2 linked regions of the Arabidopsis thaliana genome follow. The protein of the gene in region 1 interacts with the protein of each later gene in a pairwise test. Each region holds a gene or a part of one and is shown on either strand. Other genes may lie near its edges. The genes, in order: HSFA3 and OFP13.

Region 1 (5,599 bases):
TGCCTAAGACCTACGCTGCGACTATGACTAACTTCAAATTATAAATAAGGAGTTATAATGTTTTTTTCTAGGTAATTGATTGGAAAAATTGTTGACATTTCCATTAAGAACTCTAATTTTCCAACTTGCTTTGAGAAAAAGGTATTAAAAGGATCGATCCATACCAAACAAATCACATGAATATCTTAGTAAGTTTAAGATTTGACTATATGGCATCTAACAGACTATTCACTGAATATGTTCATTTGGTCTTAATTTTCTGATTTCGAATATTTTTGCAGTCATCATATATTTTATATCAAAATGGGCATTTAAAGCCCACTGTTAATTTTTAATTTCATTATAATGGCCTGCTAGATTCACTTGCAACAATCTATATTCGATGGGCCGAAACTAAATAAGCCCAAGTAAGAAAAAATTAATGTTGACAGTGGGATTTGAACCCACGCCCTTTCGGACCAGAACCTTAATCTGGCGCCTTAGACCAACTCGGCCATATCAACTTTTTGATAGTAAAATTTCAAAGTATGAATATAACCGATTTGCATAGATTTAAATGACAGGGACATGCCCTAAAATCCCTTGGTCCGATTAATAGCCTTCACTTCACGGCAAGTTCACGCCCTAAAAAGTAAAAACTGCGCTCGAGAGACGAAACCGCTATCATCTTCTTCGAGAACTTTCTTCTTTGACGCATCGTCTCCTTCAGGTCACAGTACCTCTCAAGACAATGGAGTTCTGGGGTAAAAATCTCCTATCTTCCTTCTTCTTCTTCTTCGTTCTCTGCGCTTCGTTTCCTGCATTTAGGTTTTTCTTTTTTTAAAAAAAATCTTTTGGTTTCATCATTTTTCTTCGTTTCCTACCGTTTCTTCTATGTGTAATCGTCAGGTTAGCTAAACGTGAGACGAGATTACATGAATACTGGCTATTGAATTTGTAATTAGTTTATAAATCTGTTATAAACCGGTACAAATTCCTTCAATCAAGACACAAAACATACCCCAACAGACAAGCAAAGGAGAAGAAGAAGAAGAAGAAGAAGAAGAAGAAGAAGAAGAAGAAGAAGAAGAAGAAGAAGAAGAAGAAGAAGAAGAAGAAGAAGAAGAAGAAGAAGAAGAAGAAGAAGAAGAAGAAGAAGAAGAAGAAGAAGAAGAAGAAGAAGAAGAAGAAGAAGAAGAAGAAGAAGAAGAAGAAGAAGAAGAAGACAGAGAGAGAGAGGAAAGAGCTTTTGCATTCGTACCTGGGACATAAATGATTAAACCAGACAGCTTCAGAGAGAAAAATCCTTTTAAAGAAACATTGTTCCACTTCAGACCTGCAAAAATTTTAATTACTCAAGCAGATAAAAGCATAATTTTGTGTTATATATCCTTCATAATCAATGTTATTAGACCCTGGATTAAGTGAATAAGAAAGGAACAATCAAACTCATCAATATTATATATATGTATAAAGAGTGCATTCAAAATGAATAATGAATTAATAGTTCACCCGATAAGAAACGGGTTTTTGGTCTAAACTATATATGAAAAGATCCTAAGGATCATTCATTGGCGTATTATCATCATCATCACCAGTTGGCCAGTTGAATCCAGTCTCTGTGATTCCTGCAGCAAATTGTTCCCAGCAGACATCAGGCAAACCATCACTTGTTGTTTCTGCAGCAAAACCAAACTCTGAGACATCATTATAGTCCATTGTGTTTCCCCATGCATCGGTGTTGCTGAAACTCGGTATTGTAGTATCGAAACCCATGCTCCATGTCGTCTCTTCTTGTTTAATAAGTCCTTCAGGAGATGGGAAGGACATCAAGTAATCTGGTTTGCTCATCTCTTCTTCTGATGGATACATCAAGTTCTTGCCTTTTGGATCGCTTGAAGTCATCCCTCCTAAACCCTTGGTGTTCTCAGTCTCTTCGTCATACATTAGCAATCTCTCCCAATCATCAGCTTCATACTTCACCACCTCCCCTCCTGTTGGAGAATCTTGAGGCTGCTGGTGGTGCTTGATGAACTTCTTTCTCGCCTTTTCCAATCCAAGAGCTCCTCCTTTTTCTTTTCCTTTGAAGTTCTTCAGGCGTTCCAAGAAACCCCGGTTCTGAAACAACTTAGCCAAGAAAGAGAGCAATTGCTTCTGACGTTGCTCTGCAGCTTTCAGCCTCTGGTTTACAGTGTCCACATGTCGAGCTGTGCCTCTGCTTTGCTGCTGAAGCTCAACCATTTCCTCCATCAATGCACGCCGCTCTTTCCTCAGCTTCTCAATCTCTCCTCCAACCTCAGTAGGTGACCCTTGGCTTTGGCTAGTGCTACTGCAGCAAGTTTGGTTGGATTGTGGTGATCGACGACGATGAATGTTCTTCAGAAGATGCTTCTTGCCTCTAAGGAAAGCCTCGTTAGCGAATTCCCACTTGTCAGTATCAATCTTTCGAAATCCCTGGAAACATTCCAACCCCAAAAAAACAACTCAAACAAGCTCAAGATAAAGTAAGTAAACACATTTACATCAAGACAAGACCAAATATCTCAAGATATTAGAAAGATTCTACCTCTGAAGTGTGAAGAACATGTGAGTAATGATGTCTTAAACCAGACTGAAGTTAACATTGTGAGAAAATAACAAAACTTCATAAACCAAAATTCTCCATTCAAACGAAACCATAAGTATACAAGATTACAAGCTTATTTCAGATGAGAAGTTATTATAAGATCCAATCGAGGCCAAAATTTCATAGATACAAAACTCAGTGTTACATGATAGAGAGATTAAACAAATCCCAAAAAGAAAAGAAAATTACAGGTAATTTTTTACAAGTTATCAAAAAACGAGTTTCAAGAATCTATACAAAATGGTTTTGGTCATCAAAAAGATTACAGAAACATAAAAACAAAACAAAACTGAAAGAAGAAGAAGAAGAAGAAGAATGAGTCTATCTAGAAAACAGAAACAGAGCAAGAGAGATGATTACATAAGTGTTAAGCTGTCTGACGAAGCTGGAGAAATTGTTGTGTTTGAAATTCCTTGGAAGTATGATTCTGGCAAACTCTAGAGGATCCCAAACTACGAAGCTAGCTCCGGTCAGTCCCCAAGAGATGACCGGGTCAAGAGTCGGGTCATCAACCAAATCAAAAGTCTTGGATAAAAAAGGTGGAATTGGATTCCCTTGTAAGATGTCTAGTGGCATGGGAAGTGGTGACCCAGAGAAACCCATGTCAGTGTCGACGTAGAGAGACCCGGGTATATCGGATCGTCTCGAAACGGGTACTGAAATTGGAGTTGGTTTAGAAACAGCATCTTTTTTTGGGCTCATTTGATATAGTAGAAAATTTACGGGTTTTAGTGAGAGAGAGAGTGAGAAATTGGGGTGTGTGTGATAATTAGGGGGTTTAAGAGAAGAAGGATGAGAGGTTTAATGGTTTATAAAGGTTTAGGGAAGGAAGTAACCGACAAACTGTAGTCAGATAATTGAAAAAAATCTGGGGAATAGAGAGGCGGTGGAAATGGGTGGGTCAGTTCCCGCCACCGTGGATTTATCTTTTTCGTCATCATGTTCCATTGATTCATCAGTTTAGAAGAAATTTGGAAACTTTAGTGACAAATAATTGTACAACCGACATTGAAATTGAAAGTTGTTTCCTTGCAGCTTCACTTAGCTCTCTCTCTCTGTGATTTGGTGAAGGAGAGAAAGTGGTGACGATGGTGGGTCCCACGTCATCTTGAGATTTTTGAAAGGAGGAGTGATTTAGCGCGTTTGCCAGGTCAGCTTTCTAATTTGGAACTGGGCCCTCACAAATCACTGATTCGCTTTTCGTGTTTCCTTTTTCAGAATTTAATATTGTATAATTTTGATTTACGCAATCCTATTGGTTACCGATCCATCAAACGATTAATTCGGAAGACAGGTAAAGTCGTTTTCAAGTGTGGGAACTTACTTAGACGCGAAGGCAAAAATAGTTGACTATGTATCTAGATATTTTCAGTCCCAATGCGTTTTTAACGATTTGGGATTATATTCATCTGTATTAGAGTCTCCGAAAGTTACAGTCTTATTTCATTTCTGTTGGTTTATAGTCCAGACTAATCGCACAGTGAACAAATGTAAATCCAATGAATCATATTGAGTTTGCAAAACCCTTTGACAGCATTTACCAGCTGCTCTTTTTTACCTTCGCTTAGTAACTAATTTAGCGGTATAAATGTACAGCAATGTAATTAAATATAGCTTTCAGTGCATTGCTACAAAGACATAACAACAAAATATTGCTTACCCTTTGGGACTAGATAGATAGATTATATCCCTCACATTGTTTCCATTACTACATTTTTTTTTCCTCCCTGTGACAATAGTCATGTACATTTTAACAATCTGCAACATTAAAAAGGGAACAAAACAGCAGACAAAGATCGCAAAAATAATACATGTATAAAAACCATGGGATTCTGTAGGATATGATTGATAGCTCATGAGGAATGTACCTTTAAAGCTATATCTTAACTAGTGTCTCCCTCCTGGGCAGCAAAAGAATGCTGAGAGTATATGTGCATATCATGATTATAACAACTTTTGAATGGACCGGGGGTATTTTACAAATCCGAGCGGTTGGGCGGAGGAACCGCTGATTTGATCAATGGTCTTAGCAAGTCCATTATAGTTGCAAATGATGGACGCTTCCATGGCTCACTGGTAATGAAACACATACATAAACATGAAGTCTATTCAAGAAGAATTCAAAAAAGAGATAGAAAATCTTAACGTACTTGGTCCAACAACCCTCGATTATGGCTGCAACCTGAGGATTCAGATTACGCGGGATCTCCAGCCGTTTACACTTGAAACCAACCGCAGCTACAACCTATGGAACATTTTTTTGTATGATCATATATAGCATGTTATGAAATGTAGAGTGAGGGACTTCCAAATGCAAAATAATATCATTATTATTTGAGATGTTTAGAGTGGAAAGTACCTGAGCCGGATTTAAGTTACCCCATGGTTGTTGCAATGTAGCAAGCTCCCACAAGATGACCCCGAAGCTGTACACATCTGACTTTTCATTAGACGGCTCATCTCGCAGGACTTCTGGTGCCATCCACTCGGGCTGATATATCAAAGTCAGTAATTATTTAGCTTCCATTGGAAATAGGACCTAGAAGAAAGTTACGTTGTTCAGCGTGTTTTAGTTTCAAACAAACTGAACTTACGGTTCCAGCTGCTGACTTCGAGGAAAGAAACGTGCTGGCCTTCAATCGCGAGAGACCAAAATCACAAACCTGAAATTTCAAGACAAATTGAGGAGTTAGAATAATAATGTTCTGATTGTTTTTAAGACGACAGCTTGAGGCTGCTGTATCTTTTAAGTTTCAGCAGATTAACGCCTTTTTGTAATGTCTCCAAACCAATTTAGAATTAAAAATCATAATTTATATATAAGCTTGTCTCACAAGAGGAATAAAATATCAAAATCAAAACATTGGACACAACAATTTCTAATTTAGATTCAAACCTTGACTGTATATTTTTTGTCAACCAATAAGTTTGGAGATTTTAGATCTCTATGCACAATTGGAGGATTGCGATTGTGAAGATAATTCATTCCCTTAG
Region 2 (4,140 bases), 430 kb from region 1:
GAGATAAGAGAGAAGTGAGTAGGTCTATGATGTTGGGATTCACAGGGCCTGTGTGTGTGTGACCACTGACCACAGCACCATTGCTCATCTCATGTTACTCCATTCACTTCACAATACAAAATACAAATTACAAATCTCTTTTGTAACATTTCAATTCAAACGTTACTATAGACCAACATTCTCTTTTAATGCACCCTCGTAAATACACTATCCTTTTCTGTATTTTTAAAACTTGAATCTCATAAGTTCATGACAATTACATTTATACATACACTACGGGTGTTTCTATTACGCTTATTTTCAAGATTTTAACTCCAGCATGGATATCACAAAAAGGGTTTTGCTAAATATCTTACGTGATGATGCTTTTAAGAGTCAAATCAATAAATAAAATCTCTATGTTATTAATGTTAATACATGAATTATCCGAGCATGATATTTAATGAGTCTTACAGTTTATGTTAGTGTAGTAGTCCTTGTGTAACCATCGAAAATTCGTAATACCAAATTTTATTTGGGGAAAAAAAATGTAAGGTCCAATATTTGTGACAAAAAAATTTTTAATATGGATGCCAAAGGAGCTACATGCCTACATCTAATGAGAAAGGCTATATAATATGCCTGCAAAAAAAATGAGAAATTATAATTCTATGTCCTTTAAAACCTAAAAAAGAAGTAAAAAATAAAGAGCTTAAATAAAAAGAAGTATCACAGAATTTATTCTTATGTATATTTCCTTTTAAAATGGGGCTGTTATACAAAATTTCTCTGAATCTGTTGGCATAAACTTCGCTGAGTTTCATGAATTTTGGGGGAAAAATAGTGTAACTTTCGAGTTATGACAAAAGGCACTGTTATACACATAAATCAACAATAATGGCTCTAAAAATATTTTTGATATATATTTAATGGTTCTTTTTCCTCTAACCACTAATTACTTTTTACAAAATCCAAAAAGGGTTAATTAATCTAAACAAAACCGGAGATTAAAAAATTTAAAACCGAATCTTAAGCCTTTTTTTATTTTTAACAGCTCCGTCTCTCTTCCTCTTGAATCTCCGTCTGACCTTGAGATAACGAATAAACCGGCGACGACGGCAAAGACGAAACGGCGGTTGAATAACGAGCCGAATCCGATACCGAAGCCGACGTTATTCCGGCGCCGGAATCAGAGAGTCCAGAGAGAAGATCAACAAAAGCACTGACGATAACGCCGTGACTCTTCCTCCCATTCATCCTCAAATACCAAGCGAGCATCGATTCCAAGCTCTCCCAATCTTTAGCCAACTCACCGTGACTCGTCACCATCTCCTCCATCGATCGCCGGAAATCACCGTACGGATCCTCGGATTCCATCGCCACCGCGACACTAATCTCCTCAATCGGCGTACTCCGATCTTCTCCCACCGCAACCGTTTCCTTCGATTTCAAATCCGATTTCGATTTCTCTTCAATCTCTTCCAGAATCGAACTCGTAACTCCTGGATCGAAGAATAACCGCTCCGATCTAACAACGCCACGAACCACCATCTCTAAGGACTCAGCGTCAAGGTCTTGATCCGACTCGGTTGAGTGACTCGCTGTCTCGGACGAGTTAGTAAACCATGACTCAGGCGTCTCCGCTTCCAACAAATCTCCTCCATTGTTGTTGTTGTGGTGGTGGTCGAAGAAAACAGAGTTCACCGTCTTGATCATGTCGTCGCCGACTCGGAACGAAAGAGTTTTGGCATTGTAACAGAGAGGAACCGCTAGTAATCCTCCGGCTCCGCCTTTGAACAGAGAAGAGAGTTTCATCTTCTTCTTCCCCATTGATACCACCAATTGTTTTTTTCTTTGTGAAGATCTTTGGTTGGGTTTGGGTTTAGTAATTAATGGAAGAGGAAGGAGTTGGAGGGAATGCGATATATGGGGAGAGAAGAGAGAGCTGGTGGGGTCAGGTCATGTGTCTATTTAATTTTGGGATATTTTTCTATTTGTTGTTAATTTTCCATTTTTTTCTGGTTAGTTATTTGAAGTGCTTTTACTTATTTAGTCTAAAGTCTTAACTATAAAAATTACGATGATTGAAGTTGATAGTTTGTTTTTGTTTTGCTTTGTGGTTAGCTTTTTCGATTCGTTTTCTGTTCAACCGGGATTTCAATAGTTTTTTCCAATATTTGATTTGCTACAATCCAAATTTTTAATATTGGTTTTTTCTACACTATTCGATCTAATAATTGATCAATTTTACAAAAATGTTTTTATAATGGAGATATATTATTTTTACAAATAGTTTATTGCTACATTTTACAATAATGTTTTTGTCGTTGTGATTTTATTGATATACACATGAGTGGAAGAATTATGTTTTTTACAAATATTTTGCTGTTTTGAAAAATTGACAATCTTCTTGTGTGACGAAAACACTTATCCTCATGCAGTTTACATATTATTAGCTCCATGGGTTGTTATTGCCTTGTTGGAGAGGTTGAATTTGTATTTTTTAACTAACAAAAGTTTCATGCAAACACGATATAATGGCTCTATGGGAATTTGAATTTTTATTTTGTCTTTGTTATCTAAATTTAAGATGATAATATTATACTCATGAACAAGTATAGTAAGACACAGCAGTAGCATTCAATTTGGTTGAAGACAAGAAAAATTAAATATTTTAATTAAAATAAAATAAAATAATACTAGAAAAAATGTTAGTCCCGAGCCAATGACAAAGCACTGTGCAGAACACAAAGCATTAAAAACGATTGCTTACAAGAAAATGTTGCAGAAAAACAAATCCCAATAAACATTTAGTAATTTTATATACTACTACTACTTTATAAAGGTTGATTGACGGTACTACATTCTTGTCTATTGGCTCGTCTTGTCAAATCTTCTTCTCATTTTTAATTACTCTCTCTTTACGACTTTAATAGTGTTTTACATCTTAATTAATTTGTTTAATTTTTTTAAAACTGATGTATAAGCTATTTTGTATTATATAATCCATAAACGAACACGTAAAAATCGTACTGATGCAGTCAGTTTTGACTTTCCTATAAGCACTGTGAGCTTCTAATACTCTCGGTCAACGTGTTATCTATAAATTACGTATGTGTAAATTATATGAAGCTTTGAGCTTAAAGAATGTTTCTTCTTGGTCGCAATACAAATTTCTAAAAGTAAGAATTGTAATTCAACTGAATAATTAAACTCGATGAACATCAGTTTCTTGAATATATATTTAAAAATAATTTATTTCGTTTAATTTTTTTTGAGGAATTGAAGTCTTATATTCGAAGAAGGACTATGTTATATGTATGTTTTTAATTAATGATGAATTTCTTGGACGATTTTCTTTACTAAGGTAAAATATATGATCCATCAAGGTAGAACAAGAATGTAGGGGATAGATCCTGAGACAGTGTCCTTTAGGAATCAGTCAATATTATAGAGTTTATCAGAGATATAAAACTGAAAGTAGTAAAAGATTTAAACAGAAGCAATCTGATGTTGAAACCCATTGTTGTGAAATAAATGCATCATTATTTTCGTACATTTTCAACTTTATTTACCCAACACCTCCATATCTTTCTCTTTTGCAAAAATTTCCTGTTTTGCCTTAATTTGCGTAAGATATTGGATCAACGTTTGTGGGATAAATATGGGAACATAGAATAAGAAAAAGAGAGAGAAAGATTGTGTGCAAAACTCATGTGAGGAATTAAAGAGGGCACCGTTGAATCACGCATATATTAACTGTGGATTTCCATCTTCTACTACTAGATCTTTAGTTAGGGGACCAAATTTACAAAAGTACAGTATATTCCTCTCTATGGTTTAAATTTTTAAATACATTAGACTATATATAAATTACATTTTTTCATTTACAGTACTTTGAATACTCTACAGTGTTCATGATAGACTATTCAACTTGTAACGTGTTTGCAAATGAAGATGTCTAAAAATAAAGTTTATAACATGCAATATTTGGAATACTCTACAGTGTTCCTACATCTTTTTAATTTTATGTTCAAATACGACATTTTTGCCATATTATCCTTTTAAATTTGCTCCCTATTTATACAGTTGATTAACAAAAAGTTATTTGAATACTCTTACTTGGTTTTATGAAACTGTTCACAATTTCAACAATTCAAC

Evidence for each region.
Region 2: the proteins of HSFA3 (region 1) and OFP13 interact in binary tests that used the Arabidopsis thaliana proteins (3 or more experiments, as listed by UniProt).

The regions. Positions count from the first base shown.
Region 1 is NC_003076.8:970,377-975,975, forward strand, and holds HSFA3 (heat shock transcription factor A3), read right to left. Parts: upstream 3,951-5,599; 5' UTR 3,308-3,950; coding exon 2,966-3,307; intron 2,434-2,965; coding exon 1,537-2,433; 3' UTR 1,252-1,536; coding exon of another isoform or gene 1,019-1,251; intron 798-1,018; 3' UTR 766-797; downstream 1-765. Other genes in the region: AT5G03710 (replication factor C large subunit), read left to right, coding at 731-743, 1,019-1,251; CTR1 (Protein kinase superfamily protein), read right to left, coding at 4,582-4,678, 4,756-4,850, 4,965-5,096, 5,200-5,268, 5,502-5,599. UniProt on the Arabidopsis thaliana protein: Transcriptional activator that specifically binds DNA sequence 5'-AGAAnnTTCT-3' known as heat shock promoter elements (HSE). Involved in heat stress response. Activated by DREB2A under heat stress.
Region 2 is NC_003076.8:1,397,354-1,401,493, reverse strand, and holds OFP13 (ovate family protein 13), read right to left. Parts: upstream 2,100-4,140; 5' UTR 1,810-2,099; coding exon 1,027-1,809; 3' UTR 710-1,026; downstream 1-709. UniProt on the Arabidopsis thaliana protein: Transcriptional repressor that regulates multiple aspects of plant growth and development through the regulation of BEL1-LIKE (BLH) and KNOX TALE (KNAT) homeodomain transcription factors.